Linked DNA regions of Lytechinus pictus. Each later gene encodes a partner of the first gene's protein in a complex. Links are inferred from orthologs where the notes say so. Each region holds a gene or a part of one and is shown on either strand. Other genes may lie near its edges.

Region 1 (7,651 bases):
ATGGCAGTCGGCAAAATCATGTACCAGTTGGCAAAATGGAGGATAGGGGAGAAAAAGAAAGAGGGAAAGAAAGGAAGAGAAAAAAGAAAGAAGGAGAGAGGGGGAGAGAAATAAAAAGAAAGAAAGAGAGAGAGAGGAGAGAGAGAGAGGGGGGGTGAGAGAGAGAAAGAAAGAAAGAAAGAAAGAAATAAAGAAAGAAAGAAAGAAAGAAAAAAAAAGGAAAGAAAAATAGGGGTACTAACTTCGAAGAAGGTTACGACTTTGACAACCAGTTGGCAAATCCAAGTCCATGTAGCCAGGCTTAGAGCCCTACTAGTCAGCAAAATACAAAGGACAAAACAGATGGAGCTATAATAACACACAAAGTAAGCCCCCCGGTCCTTCCCCAATATAAACAAGCTTGTGAGTTTGCAAATTATACCACAATTATTGACGATTTAACAAACACATTAGTTTTGTAAAATTAGAGGCAAGACTAGGTACATAAATATGGAGTGGGGTGAATTTTCAAGGTATAAGTTAAATAATCAAAGCCAAAGAATAGTTGGCAAATAATAAAGTGGGCCTATTAAAGTGGCAGAACACTATACGCTCTACCAGTCAGCAAAGTGATGTACAAGTACTGCCCCGTTTCTCTGAAAAGAACAGAACACAAGACTTAAAAACTGGTAACTCTGCAGTTGGCAAATTCATGAAGACAAGTCTACAACTTGTAAACTTGTCTACAAGTTTGCAGTTAGCAAAAAACACAAAAATGTTCTAAGTTATTTTTACTAAATTCTGTCGCCGAAGAATTTTGTTTAATTTATGGTGTCAGAATGTGCTTGGGGTGGGGATGGGTGGGAGTGGGGGCAGGTTTGGGTTGCATCATTCCTGGTGCTCGCATTGTATGACTAATGAGATATATAGTCCTGTTGTATTTTAAGTCCATAAAGATTATGCATCAAATTATCTCCTCGCACTTCAAGTTATTATTGTTTTATGTACTTATGCCTTTTTCATGACTATATACTTAGTGATTGCCCCCTTTTAAGGCCATAATAAAACATTTCCAGTCTGTGCTTACCTTCGCATTGGTGTGGACCGATATAGATACCGGGCTGGTAGTGGTGTTAAATCAACACTGGCGTTTTTGCAGTAGACGAATTCCTAAAGACAGTCCTTAAAATGTCCCTTTTTCTGATCTAATTATAACAAATTTTCAGCTCGCGCTTCGCGCTCGCATCACTTAATTAGTGAAATAGTAAATTCCTACAAACAAGCCATAGAATGCCCCTCTTCAGGTCCGAATTTCAAAAATTGTCAGTTCGCGCTTCTCGCCCGCAATATTTCATTAGTGAAATACGTATCATGTTCATGATTACAATGACCACAAAAAGTGCTTCATGTACCAGTGTAATTCTAACAAAATCAGCAAGCGCTTGGCGCTCGCATTAGATGACTATGATGAGATACGTACGCACTTCATAAATTGCAAAAGATCACTCCCGCATATCGAAAACTTGCATACAGTGTAGCGGACATGTAAAAACATAGCAGACGACGTTTGCAGACCTCGCGATCATCGTATGACTAGCGGTGCAGAATGTTCCATTGTGGCTTTATGGGGGAGATAGCATTACAGAGGGATAAAATGTATACACAAATAATGTTTCAGCGTTGATTCACAATATTTTGTGTCGATTTCATAAATTATTGTTGTTTGAACATTTAAAACATAATTATAAAGTGAAAGGAATAAGCACAACTTAATTTTCAGACTTACCTATGCAGTGGTAAGCTAGGATGCACCCCTCGTATACATAATTGACCCGTCACAGTTTTCAGAGACATATCCAACTTTGATTTTTGTTGGCAAAAATAACGGTATCTGATATATTTATATCTATAGTTCGGACTGACAATGTATATATATTTATACATACCTAATAAAATGTTCAGCACTGCAATGGAAAGAGCTAGAAAACCGCTGTGACTCGAACAACACACCGACGTACACAAAAACTCTGTCCAGCCCTATATGTTGAATGCACGTCGAGTGTAGGATTGCTCTTCGGACATCACTATCACAAAGAAAATCTCCTCTGATTTGATGATAAAAGTGCACTATTTCCTTATTAACCAATCTCCGTGGTTCTTTAATGAGTATTTGCCTTACAATGTGCCCTTTATTATCATCTGGGCGGAAATTCTTGATACCATCACCCACCGATGTGACGACGGATATAATCCACCCGGGTACTATAAAAATGTCCCCCAAACCCATTATCCCAATACATATTCCTGACTATGGATGGTTTTGAGTGATTTTAATGTAATAAAGTGCCACATTTCCCACCAATTGAATTTAAAAAAAATTATGGTCATCTAATAGAAGAAGTTGTTAACATTCATATCAGGGGGGCGGAAATTCTATATGAATCAACACTTGTCCTTGATACACATTTGTTTGTGAAAAAAGGGTATGATGCAAGGGAATTCTGCGTGTTATAAGGGTGCGCGCGTGCAGCGAGGACCTTCTGTCCGCTAGTTTTCCATATAGTCCTTAAAATGTCCCTTTTTAGGTTTAAGTTATACCAAAAATTTCAGCTCGCGCTTCGCGCTAGCATTGTTTGTTTTGTGAGACAGGTACATATCGTGATTACAAAACTTTACTTATAATGTCCCTTTTTAGGACTGAATATCAAACATTTTCAGCTCGCGCTTCGCACTCGCATTATTTGATCACTAAGATACGTATCCGTTTTATGGCACAGTCCTTAAAATGTCTCTATTAGGTCAGTATACCTGGCAATTGAGCGCGCTTCGCGCGCCCACTTAATGAATCAAATTTTTTGCTGGTGCCGCCCCCAATGCCGTGACCCACGGTACGCCACTGTTAGCAGTAGCACTCTTGAAATTTTAGTTGAGACATCTTGCACAGAAGGTCAATTAAAAATTAACAAATCTTTGATTTTGATATTATTAATGCATATAGGGCATTATACTGCAAGTTAGCAACTACGGCACACTAGCCTTTCTATTTTGATCCAAAATGTTTATTTTTGCAGTGCAAATATCTTTGTATATCTTTGTATAATTTACCTTAAAGTATTCACCAAATGCCACTAATTCAATTCTAAAAATTCAAAATCTTTTAGCATGTGATTATTGTGGGGGGGGGGGGCACATCCCCCATCAGACTCCCCCTGTGCTCACGTTGGCGCTGTCACGCCAAATTTAGTTGGCAAATTTAGCTGGTACACCCCCCCCCCCCCAACAAAATGCTTCTGGCTACGGCCCTGCTGGGCGTTGTGGCGTGCGCTTGTAATCCAAGCTATGTGGGGAAGTTATAAATTGATGCAGAGGTTCGAGGTTCGAGGTTCGAGCCCTGGTCACGTCTTTCGGATGGTGACGTTAAAGGTCGGTCCCAGACGTAAATAATCATATCTGATTGATACACGTCTGACAAAACTCAAATACACATGCACACGATGACTGGGGTCAGATCAGTGTCATACTGTGGGTCATGGCATGGGGCGGGCACGATCGAACAATTAACAAAAAAAAAATCGCTTCAAAATTACAGTAAAATTTTAGCCCACCAACCTGATTTCCAGAGGGTGCTTCCTCAGGTGTATAAAGGCCACCGCACACCTTACGACTGTTCGCGATCCGATTTTGGAACAAATCGCATTTTGCTCATTTTCTGAAAATGTGAATGGAACATATCATTATATTTGAGGTTAAAATTAATTGAAAGAATACTAATATAACCATTTTGAAAGATTTCAAGCCTTTATTTTGGAGTAAAGGCCAAATAAGTTTCAAATCGTAGCCAATCGTACGACTGCTATGACGTCATGACGACTAGATATTAAATTTGCTTTTGTTATAAGAAGAATGATAGCATAGTCACATATTTGGATATAGGTATTCGTACGATGATTTCGGACATTACACAGTAAGATATTCCAAGTCTCAATATTAGCATCAAATTCTACTACGTTTTATTTCAAAACTGAGTCGCAGACCAATCGTAAGGTGTGCGGTCGCCTTAACATATACCAGGAAGCTCCTTGCATATATACGCAGCAAAAAAATCTTCCCTGTCTCTTTCGGGGGCGTTTCATGAAGGGACTTGTCGGACGTTTTATCCGACAAGTTCCATTTTATCCGACAGTTACCATAGGAACAGTATCTCTCAGCCAATCAAAATCATGGAAAGATGTCAGATCTGAGAACTTGTCGGATGAAAATATTGATGAAACGCTCGATCCCCTGGTTCTCCCAAAACAAGATTTTCCGACACGATTTCATTGTTGAATATTCATGAGTTGATGCTATTGACCGGGATGCGACCGGGATTATTGATTGGCTGAAAGGAGTTAAAGGGCCAAGTGTGCATACGATTTAGGTTATTCATTACTATTAGTCCGCGGGATGCCACTTTCTCGAGGTTAAATTCTCTATTTGGGAAATTAATCCGAATTTTATATTAAAAATTCTTTATCATATGGAATTAGGATTACACAGATAGCTTAAAATTTTCATCTTGTTGTTATTCATAATAAATCTATGAGAAAAGTTCTAACTAGTTGTTTCGAGCGCGGACTGATATTGAATAATCTATGCGCAAACAGTTTCCCGCCCTTTTTAGCTTGTGATCAATTTTGCGTTGCGGGTGAACGAACCCAAATTCACTGTAGTCCCACATGCGCAATTTTGTTGCTAGGCCGATTTCATGGTGATTATCATCGCTCAACAAGGAGGTAGAATACTCGCAATTTGTTTATGAATTTATCCCAGTTTTACCATACATTAAATGAATAATGACGGACTCGCCAGAGGAGATCATTTTGACGACAAAAGACCGATTCGAAGAATTATGTATGAGTTTAAATTTGGACGACGCCACGAAGAAAACGGCTTGGGAATCATACGAGAGGATATGCGAAAATTACACGCTAGAGGTCAGTGTTTCATCAGTCATGTCAGTTGTTATTTTTGTTTTGTGTGTGTCGATATATGCGACAAAACAAATCAATTGCTTCCGACGTTCCCATTCCAGCTTAGTCCCACCAATAATAATGTTTTGCAATTTGCATGTCTCTAGCAAAAATACCGCAAAATAATAATAGGCAATAGCCAAAGCAAAATATTTTAGTTGTTTTTCAATTCTACTACTAGGCTTGACTTGAGTTAGAACTAGGCCTAGAACTAGAAGTCTACAAAAAAGTACAATGGTCTAACACTTAACAGTAACACTAACAACATGTTAACTTTGTTAGACTTAGACTCGATGACTGTTTTTGTTTGTGAGACTTTTAAATGCAATTATTGTTTGATTGTCAAATACCAAAAGGCCAAGTTATTTTGTTTAATGCTAACGTTACATTCATTAGATTGTTTTTCCATTCTAATTCTGCCAAGATGCTACTGTTTTAAGATGCAACAGCCAACACCACTATGTCCTCCAGCATCAACTCATTTAAACACGGATTAGTTTCTTTTGGTCAAGCCAACATTTTTAAATTGTCTGACATCCACGCCCGCACTGTACTTTTTTAAACTTTTAATTATGCATCAAGTGTTTACAACCGGGAGATCTACAGGATCAGGAATACCTACCCTCCCGTACAGATGATGTTTTTGTTTGTGAGAATGTTGTTCTACCTATGGCTATGTTACTTATGTAAAATGGTTGACTGACATTGATAAATCCGCTGTTTCGGATGATTTTTTCAACATTTTCTTTTTCTTTTGTCCTATTGACGGAGGGGATGCCGAGGAGCCAGACGAAGTGTCAGCAGAGCATATCCCTGACAGAAATGGGTCTATTAAACGTTTGACCTAGTACCTATTTATCGGTCTAGTTAAATCAAATGAAATGGCAACATTGATGTCATTGTGTGGACTATTGATTATCAAATAGATCTACATGTAGACAATAATGAATTATTATTTTTATTTTATTTCTAACACTTGTAGTGGTAGATCAAGACTAACCTGGAAGATATTTGCAAGTAACTTGCAAATATGCAACTTATTTGCAAAAACTGAAGAAAAAACGGAACCTAATTTATTTTTGTAATTATGATATACTGACCATAACTTATAATTTCAATTATTTTGTGAATGTGAAAAAAGAAAATATTTTGGACAGGATATGCTCTTCTGACTGAGACTCTGCCTGGCTTCATGGTAGGAGAACTGAAAAAAATAGAAGATTTCAAAAACTCTTTCGAAACAGCAGATTTTTCAGTAAATGTATGCTGTGTTTGCTGAAGACCTAATTTTAACGTTAGTGTCTGATATTTTTTGGAAAAACTAACGTCAAAGTCAGACCAAAGGTTTTAGTCTGTCTGGAATTTTTATAGCCTAAAAATATCTTTTTCCAAGTATCAATGACAAATGTTTCGTTTTTTATCAAGTATAGAATTGCAAAAAAATCAGATTTGAATGGTGATAATTGAGCCCAGTTCATGAGTATACTTTTGAAATTTGTACAATTTTCTTAGGAATATTTGCTCTATTTGTGCTGCTATTTTCCCCCTGGATTCTCTCCTACAATTTGAGTCAATAATGTTCCTGGTCTGTAAATTGTGATTTTGTCTAATAAAAAAAATGTTTACAAATAAGTTAGTTGTTACTAAAAAAAAAGACAATATTTGTCTTAGAACTATTTTCTGTCATCCATGTTTTAAAATTTTACTGAAGACATGTTTATCATAAATGACTGAGAATGATGGTCTAATATTAAAGAGGGGATATTTTTCATGTTCAAACATTGATAATGAGAAGAAAAGAAGATCTGAAAAATTGATGAATTGTCCTCATGGGGCACCTATAGGCCTACAGCTATACTGGCAGGTGATTTCATATTTTAATGTCATTACTTCATATTCTTTGGTGTTTTTTAATTATTATTTTATTTTTAGAACTTTGTTTTTCTCCTTTTACAATGATATCTACTCATGTGATTTTTACCTAATAATAAGTGAGTTAAATTGATTGAGTCTGCTTTTAAGAAAACCAACATGATAGTTGGATGAAGTCCAGTGGACGTCATGGACCTGGACATGGAGGAAGCTATCTATGTAAATTTACTGGGGGTGCCGTGGCAATGCTCAGCACCCCCAGTAACAACAGAATAATCCTCCGTGGACAGGGCCCTGGTGGACTTCCTCTTCAATATACATTTGGGCACACATTTGGCTTGCCATAGTCCAGTCGTTAATTTAACGTCCTATGTAACCTTACAAACATCTTCAGGGATCATTGTATTTTCATTCCGAATTCAAATTTATTTCTGTTACAGGGAGATAAAATCCAATGGCTTTCCTGTGCCTTGTATGTAGCATGCAGACGTAGTGTAGTACCGACTGTAAGCAATGGTACAATAGAGGGCAATGGCGTGTCTCTAACTCAACTGCTTCGCTCTGCCAAACTGAGGTAAGATGCTCTTCTAAATTCTCTAATCATCATGTCTTGTGCTGTCAGTTAAGATTCAGTATTGGTGTAAACTACATTGTACCCCCAACAAAATGGGGAAGAAAATTATATAAAAATCTGCATGTATATGTTGGAAAATAAAAAAGAGGATTACTAGGTAATAAAGTAATACACATGTATATGTTCCATTTTTAACTAGGGTTCGACTTTAATTATT
Region 2 (7,833 bases), on another chromosome or scaffold:
ATATATCAATGTATTTAAAAATATATATCCGCGGTAGTTTAACCTTGTAAATATTTTGTATATAAAGTAAGAATGAAACGAATTCCATAGTTTTCCGAGATTCATTTTAGATAATCAGTTTAAAGTAATCAAATAAGGCATGATCAAGAACGAGTTATATTAAAACCTGTGTCCTGGAATGCAATATAAAGTGACCGAAAAACATATTTCCTATACCCTATTGGTATACGACATGCACACTTAATTGTATCAATCAATGCTCGAGTCGGTCGTTTATTGGAACCAGTAATGTGAATTGTAATAAAAACATGTCATTTTGTGTGTTGAAAAAAAAATAACGCAAACAACTTTTTTGAAAGAACCGAAAATTTGCAAAATTACGTATACTTTATTTTTTGGCAATATGTCTTGGATGTGAATTTCTTATGGCAAGTTTACTGTAAATTCGTCGGTAATATGAATTATCTCTTTTAATATGGTTCATACACGAAAAATAAAACCTCATTATTAATTGAGAAATAAAAATTCGCCTGTTCGCAAAAAAATTAAAAAACAGATAAAATTCTTCTTTTGTCTTTTTCTCACCCGGGAAGCATGATATCTTCCATTTTTGGGACACAAGAAAGGAAGGAAGATCGAAACCTAAAATTACGATTTCTTGTTAATGTTCTGAAGAATATTTTTACACTATGGTACATTAACATGTTAACGTTGATTAAGATAAGAGTTCCACACTTACCAGATATATAGGTACCTTAAACAAGTCGATGAACTGATGAAGATGAGCAGTTCTTGCGTGCTTTCCCTTTGATGCTGCCTGGGATCACACACGATCCTCAAGCAATACCAGCTGTATTTATCTGGGATTACTTGTACTGGAGGGAGGGGGTGCTTACCTCGAATATATAACACAATATCAATGTGGCAGATCTGGAACATTTTGGTTGCTGTATATTGTCGATACACATTATAACACGTGATCGAAGAGATCGATTTTAACCGACAGCGCATGAGTTCGAATTAACAATACCAATGTTCCAGATCTTGTCGAAAGATTGTGTAAGTGCATGGTGTTTACAAGAAAAACAAATGAAAACTTTGTATTTGATAAAGAGCGTCGAATTTCGAACATTTGAAGGAGGAGCGGGTACATTATTTTGCAGATGTTTATATATATTTGAAATAATAAAAAGAAAGCAGTAAGAATTATACACAGCATGAAGTAAATAATGTAAAAACTTTGTTTTATTTTTATTTTTTATAGGGGTACGTGCTGGTTTGGAAGAAAAATTTGACAACCCCTCCCCCCCCCAAAAAAAAAAGTTTCACAATAAAATGTGGGTGATTCTGGTTAGGTTTCGATCTTTTTACCTACCAGATTCCAAGGAGTGCTCTGTCTATGGAGCAAAACACACACACACCACCCTCCAAACAAATCTTGGGGGTTAATACCCCAGCACCCCCGCTTCCACAGCAAGGGCCATAATTTCAAGCCTCTCAAGAAAAACACGAGAAAGGTGATTCTATAACCTTCAAAAATACACCGGATGGTTAGTACTGATGATGATGATCAGTGGTAATGAGGGGCCAGACATGACATAAGGGGCGAAATTTAAAGAAACGAATGCGAGCGAGCGAAACAAGCACTGCATAAAAAAGATGATGGTGGTGAATATAATAATGATGGTGGTGGTGGTGGTGACGATGATGATTATGATGATGATGATGAAGATCACAAACTTCAGGCTTGATGTACAAAATTTAAATTGCCAGCCCCGTGTCCCCCGCCCCTATCCCCGGGATTTTTGCCCATGCCGATCACATCCCATAAGTTATTAGTGAAACTGCAATCCACGAGCAAGCTAGCCAGGGCCCCGTCTTACAAATAGCATGTTTAAACAAAATATTTCCTAAATGTGATGTGAAATCATACATTCATTGTTTTCTTGAAAATTCAGTGAGCTTTTCTTTGTTTACAAAGACATCATGCAAATTTCCTGAGAAAAAAAAGACATATTGTTGGATTTCCATGTATTGAGATGATCAATCAATCGTAAATCTTTGTAAGACAGGGCCCTGGTCGATAGAAGATAAACAAAACGAACTGTGTAGAATGAGTTTTACTTCAAATGCATATTATGCAGTCTGGTTATTATCTTTCATATTTTTTTTGGGCTTGGTTAATCCAAATGGATGTTGATTGGCATATAGTCAACGGCTCATGAAGTTTTTTGAAAGAACTTCATTAAAAACATAAAAAAAACTTTCTGAATACATAGTCAGTATATTCTGGGAGGTGTCTTTCTGCGTTGGTGATATCACCACCACCAACAACAACAACAAATGCAGTATCGCCAACATTACCAACACCATCACCATGCACCACGTTGTCACGACCTCATCAACACCACCATCGCCGCCACCACCACAACCATACACCGCCACAAACATACCACCAAAATCCCCACCAACAATAAAACAAAATAACAACTGTATCGCTATATACCACTACAACCACCATCATCATCAACCCCAATGATATCAGTGTAAGCGAAAAGCAACTCTGATGATATTTTGCATGAGGTGCGATTATAATGATGGCGATTAATTGTGTACAATAAAATAGTCATGTACAGCAACAACAATGTTATACTACTATACTACTACTACTACTACTACTATTCTACTATTACTACTCCTATACTACTACTACTATTACTACGTACTACTACTACCACTACTACTACTACTACTACTACTACTACTATACTACTACTACTACTACTACTACTACTACTATACTACTACTACTAATAATAATAATATACTATACTACTACTACTACTACTACTACTACTACTACTACTACTACTATACTTCTACAGCAGCAGCAAACAGTTTGTACGATAGTGATTGTTAATTACATCGATATAACTGAAATGATTGACAGCATTTTAGATCTAATACTTTTCTGAAAACATGATGTTGGGTTCATTTTTGCAACGTTCATATATGATGCATATATTTGCACATTTAATGTCTACACCGGGATCGCTCAATTTGCACTTTACATTTACACGACAAATAATGCGAATGATCAGAATTTACTCAGCTTCTCCAATTCCACGTGTTTGACTTTTAATGACAACAGAAGATCTTGATTAATATTTACAAAATATAACAAACTACTTCGTACATTTTAATTAAAAAGAAATAACATGCACTTCGGACTTTTTGGGGGGGTTGATACTGGTTTTGGCGTCGCAGCCATATTCTCGAGAATAATTATTGACATTATGCCGACTAACGTCACTTCACAAAAAGTCTTATTGCAATAAAAAAAAGATGAAGCAGGAGAAGATTGAAGAAGAAAATAAACTAATATATATGTGACAGTACCCGCCCCCTCCCAGAATACCGATTGTGTTCGAAGCATATGGGTATCACTGTCACAAATATTTGTTTCCGTCTATCCGCTTAGTCTCCGAGAACTATAATCAAGAAAATTACGATGAAAAAATGGTGGTCAATGATGATACCAGATACCATCCATCATGATGTTCTTAATATAGTCTACCCCCTCATTATCACACGATCATCCTTGTCATATGATTATATAATAATCATTATAATGTTCTTCCATATGGGACTGGGTGCATGGGGGGGGGGGGGGGCGGGGTGTATCACCATGCCACCCACCTCTGGGATCTACAACACTCAGCACGGGACAAGATCTTGTTGCCTTAAATTCTATGTGACTGAGAGGGCATAAAGGATCTGGGTCCCGTTGTTAAAGGGATGGTCCAGGCTGAAAATCTTTATGCAAAATGCTGAAAATTTCATCAAAACCGGAAAACAAAATCTAATAACGAAGTTATTGAATTTTAAAGTTTATCAATATTTTGTGAAAACAGTTATATGCACATCGTCATGAATATTCATTAGGTGGGCTGATGATGTCACATCCATATCACACTTTCCTTTTTTTTCTTATGTTATTACATGAAATGTATTTTTTTTTTCTTCATATTTTCATGATGTGTCTCCATTATGATGAAATGTGTTGAGGAAAAACAAATAACTAATGCACTTAATCAGTTGTCTATCCAATTGTTTTAGTTCTTGGTAGAGAAATTTTGAATAAACCTAATTTCATATAATAAAATACAAAAGAACAAGTGGGGATATGACATCATCAGCCCACCGAAATATAAATATTCATAAAGACATGCCTAGAACAGCATATAATAATGCAAATCTTTAAAATTCAATAGCTTTGTTATTTGTTATCCGATTTTGATCAAATTGTCAGCATTTTGCTTTGTGAATTTTACTCTATTCATTGAGGTATAAATATTTCCAGCCTGGACCATCCCTTTAAAGTTACTGATATGGTAACTTTTCCATCCACTGCAATGGTAGCAAGTCTCAAGCTCAATAGCCAATCAAAATCAAGGATTCCATGACAGATACCATATGATTGGGTGGCACATTACTCATATAGATGATTTTACCGGGGGAAAATAAAAGGCCAACTAGTTTTTTGTTTTTTTTAATTCCCGCCTTAATGTCAATCCACCGCCCGCCCCCCCCCCCCCATCCACCTTTGTCGGTATCAGTCCGATTCAGCCGGTTCAAACAGATTTTGTACTTCGATCGTTACTTTTTCAGTATCTTTATTTTTACTTGTAAAGTAATATTAAGGTTAATATGAAAGAATGATCTAAACTTTGAAAAATAATTGTTTCCCCTGGTCCTGGATTATTCTTATTTCGCATCAGTTCGATAATCCGTCGATTTCTGTCTCTGGCCCTCTATTGACACTTCCGTGTCCATTCCGCGCGACATTTTTGCATGTTTGGCGGGGAGGAAATCTATTGTTCTTGGCAGAAAACGTACATTGATTTTCATCTTTCCTGGTTTCTGTGACACTAAGAACACCCACAAGCATGGCTGAAAAGGACAATGGTGAGAATATTATGCTATTTTTATTTGTTTTCATTCATCAGATTTCTAAGATGAAGGATCGTAAATACAGGGCCATTCATTCTCACTCCAATTCAAAAACTACCTTTACCGTAACCCAGAGAGCTCCCGCCCGCAGCGGGCGGGAGCCCAGAAGCTTACCGTGTAATTTACCATTGTCACCGGACTAGGGTGATTTATGGTCTAAATATTTCTCCAAATGAATTGTGAAAACAGAAAGTATACAATTACCACGATTATATGGATGAAGGTCTAACGAGTGGCAGATTCCTGACATCTGGGCACAGTCTGGAACCTCAAAAAAACGAAAAGTTCTCTCCTTCTACCCCGTCTCGATCGGCCATTTTTGTTAAAAATCGTAACAAAATGGCCGATCGAGACTGGGTAGAAGGAGAGAACTTTTCGTTTTTTTGAGGTTCCAGACTGTGCCCAGATGTCAGGAATCTGCCACTCGTTAGACCTTCATCCATATAATCGTGGTAATTGTATACTTTCCGTTTTCACAAATCATTTGGAGAAATATTTAGACCATAAATCATCCTAGTCCGGTGACAATGGTAAAATACACGGTAAGCTTCTGGGCTCCCGCCCGCTGCGCGGGCGGGAGCTCTCTGGGTTACCTTTACCGGTACCAGCGCTGCGCTGCATGCATGCATGCAGGCGAAGGTTCACGATCACGTTTGGTTTACACATGTGACGACTGTCGCAGCTGTCGAAAGAAAGTGGCGAGACTACTCATCGAGGCCGAGGAGGCGTTCGGCGGCGGCGCGCGGTGAAGCTCAGCAGTAACACTAACAAGTTAGGCGCATGGCCAATAATATCGGAGACTGTCTCCCGTAGCCTTAGACAGCTGGCAGCCGTCTGTTTCGAGGAGTTTTTTAACATTTTTTTATTTTTTAAATTTCTCCTCATACACAGACAGCTCGCTATCTAACCCAGGGAACTCCCGCCCACGCAGCGGGCGGGAGCCCAGGGGCCCGTTTCTCAACACCGTCATAAGTCTAACTTCTTGACTAAATCGAAGATAGTGAGCTACTTGTCCGCTAACCGTTTCACGAAGCCCTCTTTGCCAAGATCGGGGACAACAACCTGACCAAATATTTATGACACCTCCGAACCTTTTATAGCTACTTTCTTAATGACGTAGTGGCATCACGTGTAGTCTTGAGGACGCAATGATGATGATTTTTAAAATAATGAAATATACTTCTTCATCATTGACGTCTTGACACTCTTCCCCCAGTCGCATAAGAGAAGGACCATAATAAAGATGGATTTCCCTCGGAAATCCATCTTTAGAAACAAAAATCACTTTAATTGTATTGATTTCATTAATTTTCACACCTTCCTACGCCTAATGCGTAGGAAGGTTTTAAAAATTATAACATGAAAGTGTGAAAAATTTAAGGTTTCTTACCTAACTGATGCTGAGTAAACCCCTCGATCCACATGTAAACAACGTAAGTACAATAGCGTCGACCCTTGAACCGCTTATGTATGACGTACTTCCGGCTAGCGATGCCGTTCTGATGAATAATTTATAGAAAAAAAATATTATTTCGCAAATGTTAAAATGTATCACGTAAATTAAAAATAATTGTCAGTTTCATACCAATTATTTTTAATTACGTGATAAATTTTAACATTTGCGAAATAATTTTTTTTCTATAAATTATTCATCAGAACGGCATCGCTAGCCAGAAGTACGTCATACATAAGCGGTTCAAGGGTCGACGCTATTGTACTTACGTTGTTTACATGTGGTTCGAGGGGTTTACTCAGCATCAGTTAGGTAAGAAACCTTAAATTTTTCACATTTTCATGTTATAATTTTTAAAACCTTCCTACGCATTAGGCGTAGGAAGGTGTGAAAATTAATGAAATCAATACAATTAAAGTGATTTTTGTTTCTAAAGATGGATTTCCGAGGGAAATCCATCTTTATTATGGTCCTTCTCTTATGCGACTGGGGGAAGAGTGTCAAGACGTCAATGATGAAGAAGTATATTTCATTATTTTAAAAATCATCATCATTGCGTCCTCAAGACTACATCACGTGGGTAGACTATGACATGCAAAATTGCCTCAAAATTTGAAAATTGTAATCTTACGTAATCATTCATAGAAGTTGAAATTACATTGCAAAACAGGTGTGATAGATCATTCAATAATAGTTGTAATGCACAGAAACTATAAAAACTGTTGGTAAAACGCAACAAAACCACTCATTTTGAAATAGTAAAATAATTGAATCGATAAAGATTCTACCACGGCAGGTCATCCATAACTGGACTCGTATTCGTCGTTTTCAAACTTATCAACATTTTTGATAAATACTATCTCTAATTTATGCAAAGAATTTGTCAAAATCGTGTGTTTCGGTGTGTAAAAATTTAAACATTTATGTTAAACTATATTTTGATGATGTTTGGAACCATAAATAAACGTATAATTATCATTATTTTACAAAGAAAACAATTGTGGTTTACTTTCGTAAACTATCAAAATTTACTATCCCGGGGATACCCATCTCAATGTCCCCATGTGATTTTTTAGTCATGAAATGAATTATTCATAATTTGATTTTCTCAGCAATTGAGTGCTCCAGTCTTCATGGTTTAAGTATGCATGGTTCATATTTTGCCTCTGCTATTATTTTTATTATATGTATTTCCAAATTAATCACAATAGTTGCAGTTTTATCATATTTTTGCTTTTCAAAAATTATGCTATTTTGTGACTAAGGCTACGTCTCGTCTGCTCTTTCAACCGATAGTATCGATATCAAGGGATTCTAGTTAGGAAGCCCTTCGTGAAACGGGTTTAGTAAGATTGGAACTAACTCCG

Evidence for each region. Proteins that work in one complex are often made in the same cells at the same time.
Region 2: retinoblastoma-like protein 1 (region 1) and histone-binding protein RBBP4 share a complex: the UniProt entries of both Caenorhabditis elegans proteins name them as parts of the DRM complex. The link is inferred for Lytechinus pictus from reciprocal best matches to the Caenorhabditis elegans genes lin-35 and lin-53.

The regions. Positions count from the first base shown.
Region 1 is NC_087246.1:64,992,924-65,000,574, reverse strand, and holds the start of retinoblastoma-like protein 1, read left to right. Parts: upstream 1-4,642; 5' UTR 4,643-4,811; coding exon 4,812-4,952; intron 4,953-7,300; coding exon 7,301-7,434; intron 7,435-7,651. UniProt on the Caenorhabditis elegans protein: Key regulator of cell division which acts as a transcriptional repressor and negatively regulates cell cycle progression in its active unphosphorylated form, but allows cell cycle progression when phosphorylated.
Region 2 is NC_087248.1:6,917,329-6,925,161, reverse strand, and holds the start of histone-binding protein RBBP4, read left to right. Parts: upstream 1-4,816; 5' UTR 4,817-4,949; coding exon 4,950-4,968; intron 4,969-7,833. UniProt on the Caenorhabditis elegans protein: Core histone-binding subunit that may target chromatin assembly factors, chromatin remodeling factors and histone deacetylases to their histone substrates in a manner that is regulated by nucleosomal DNA.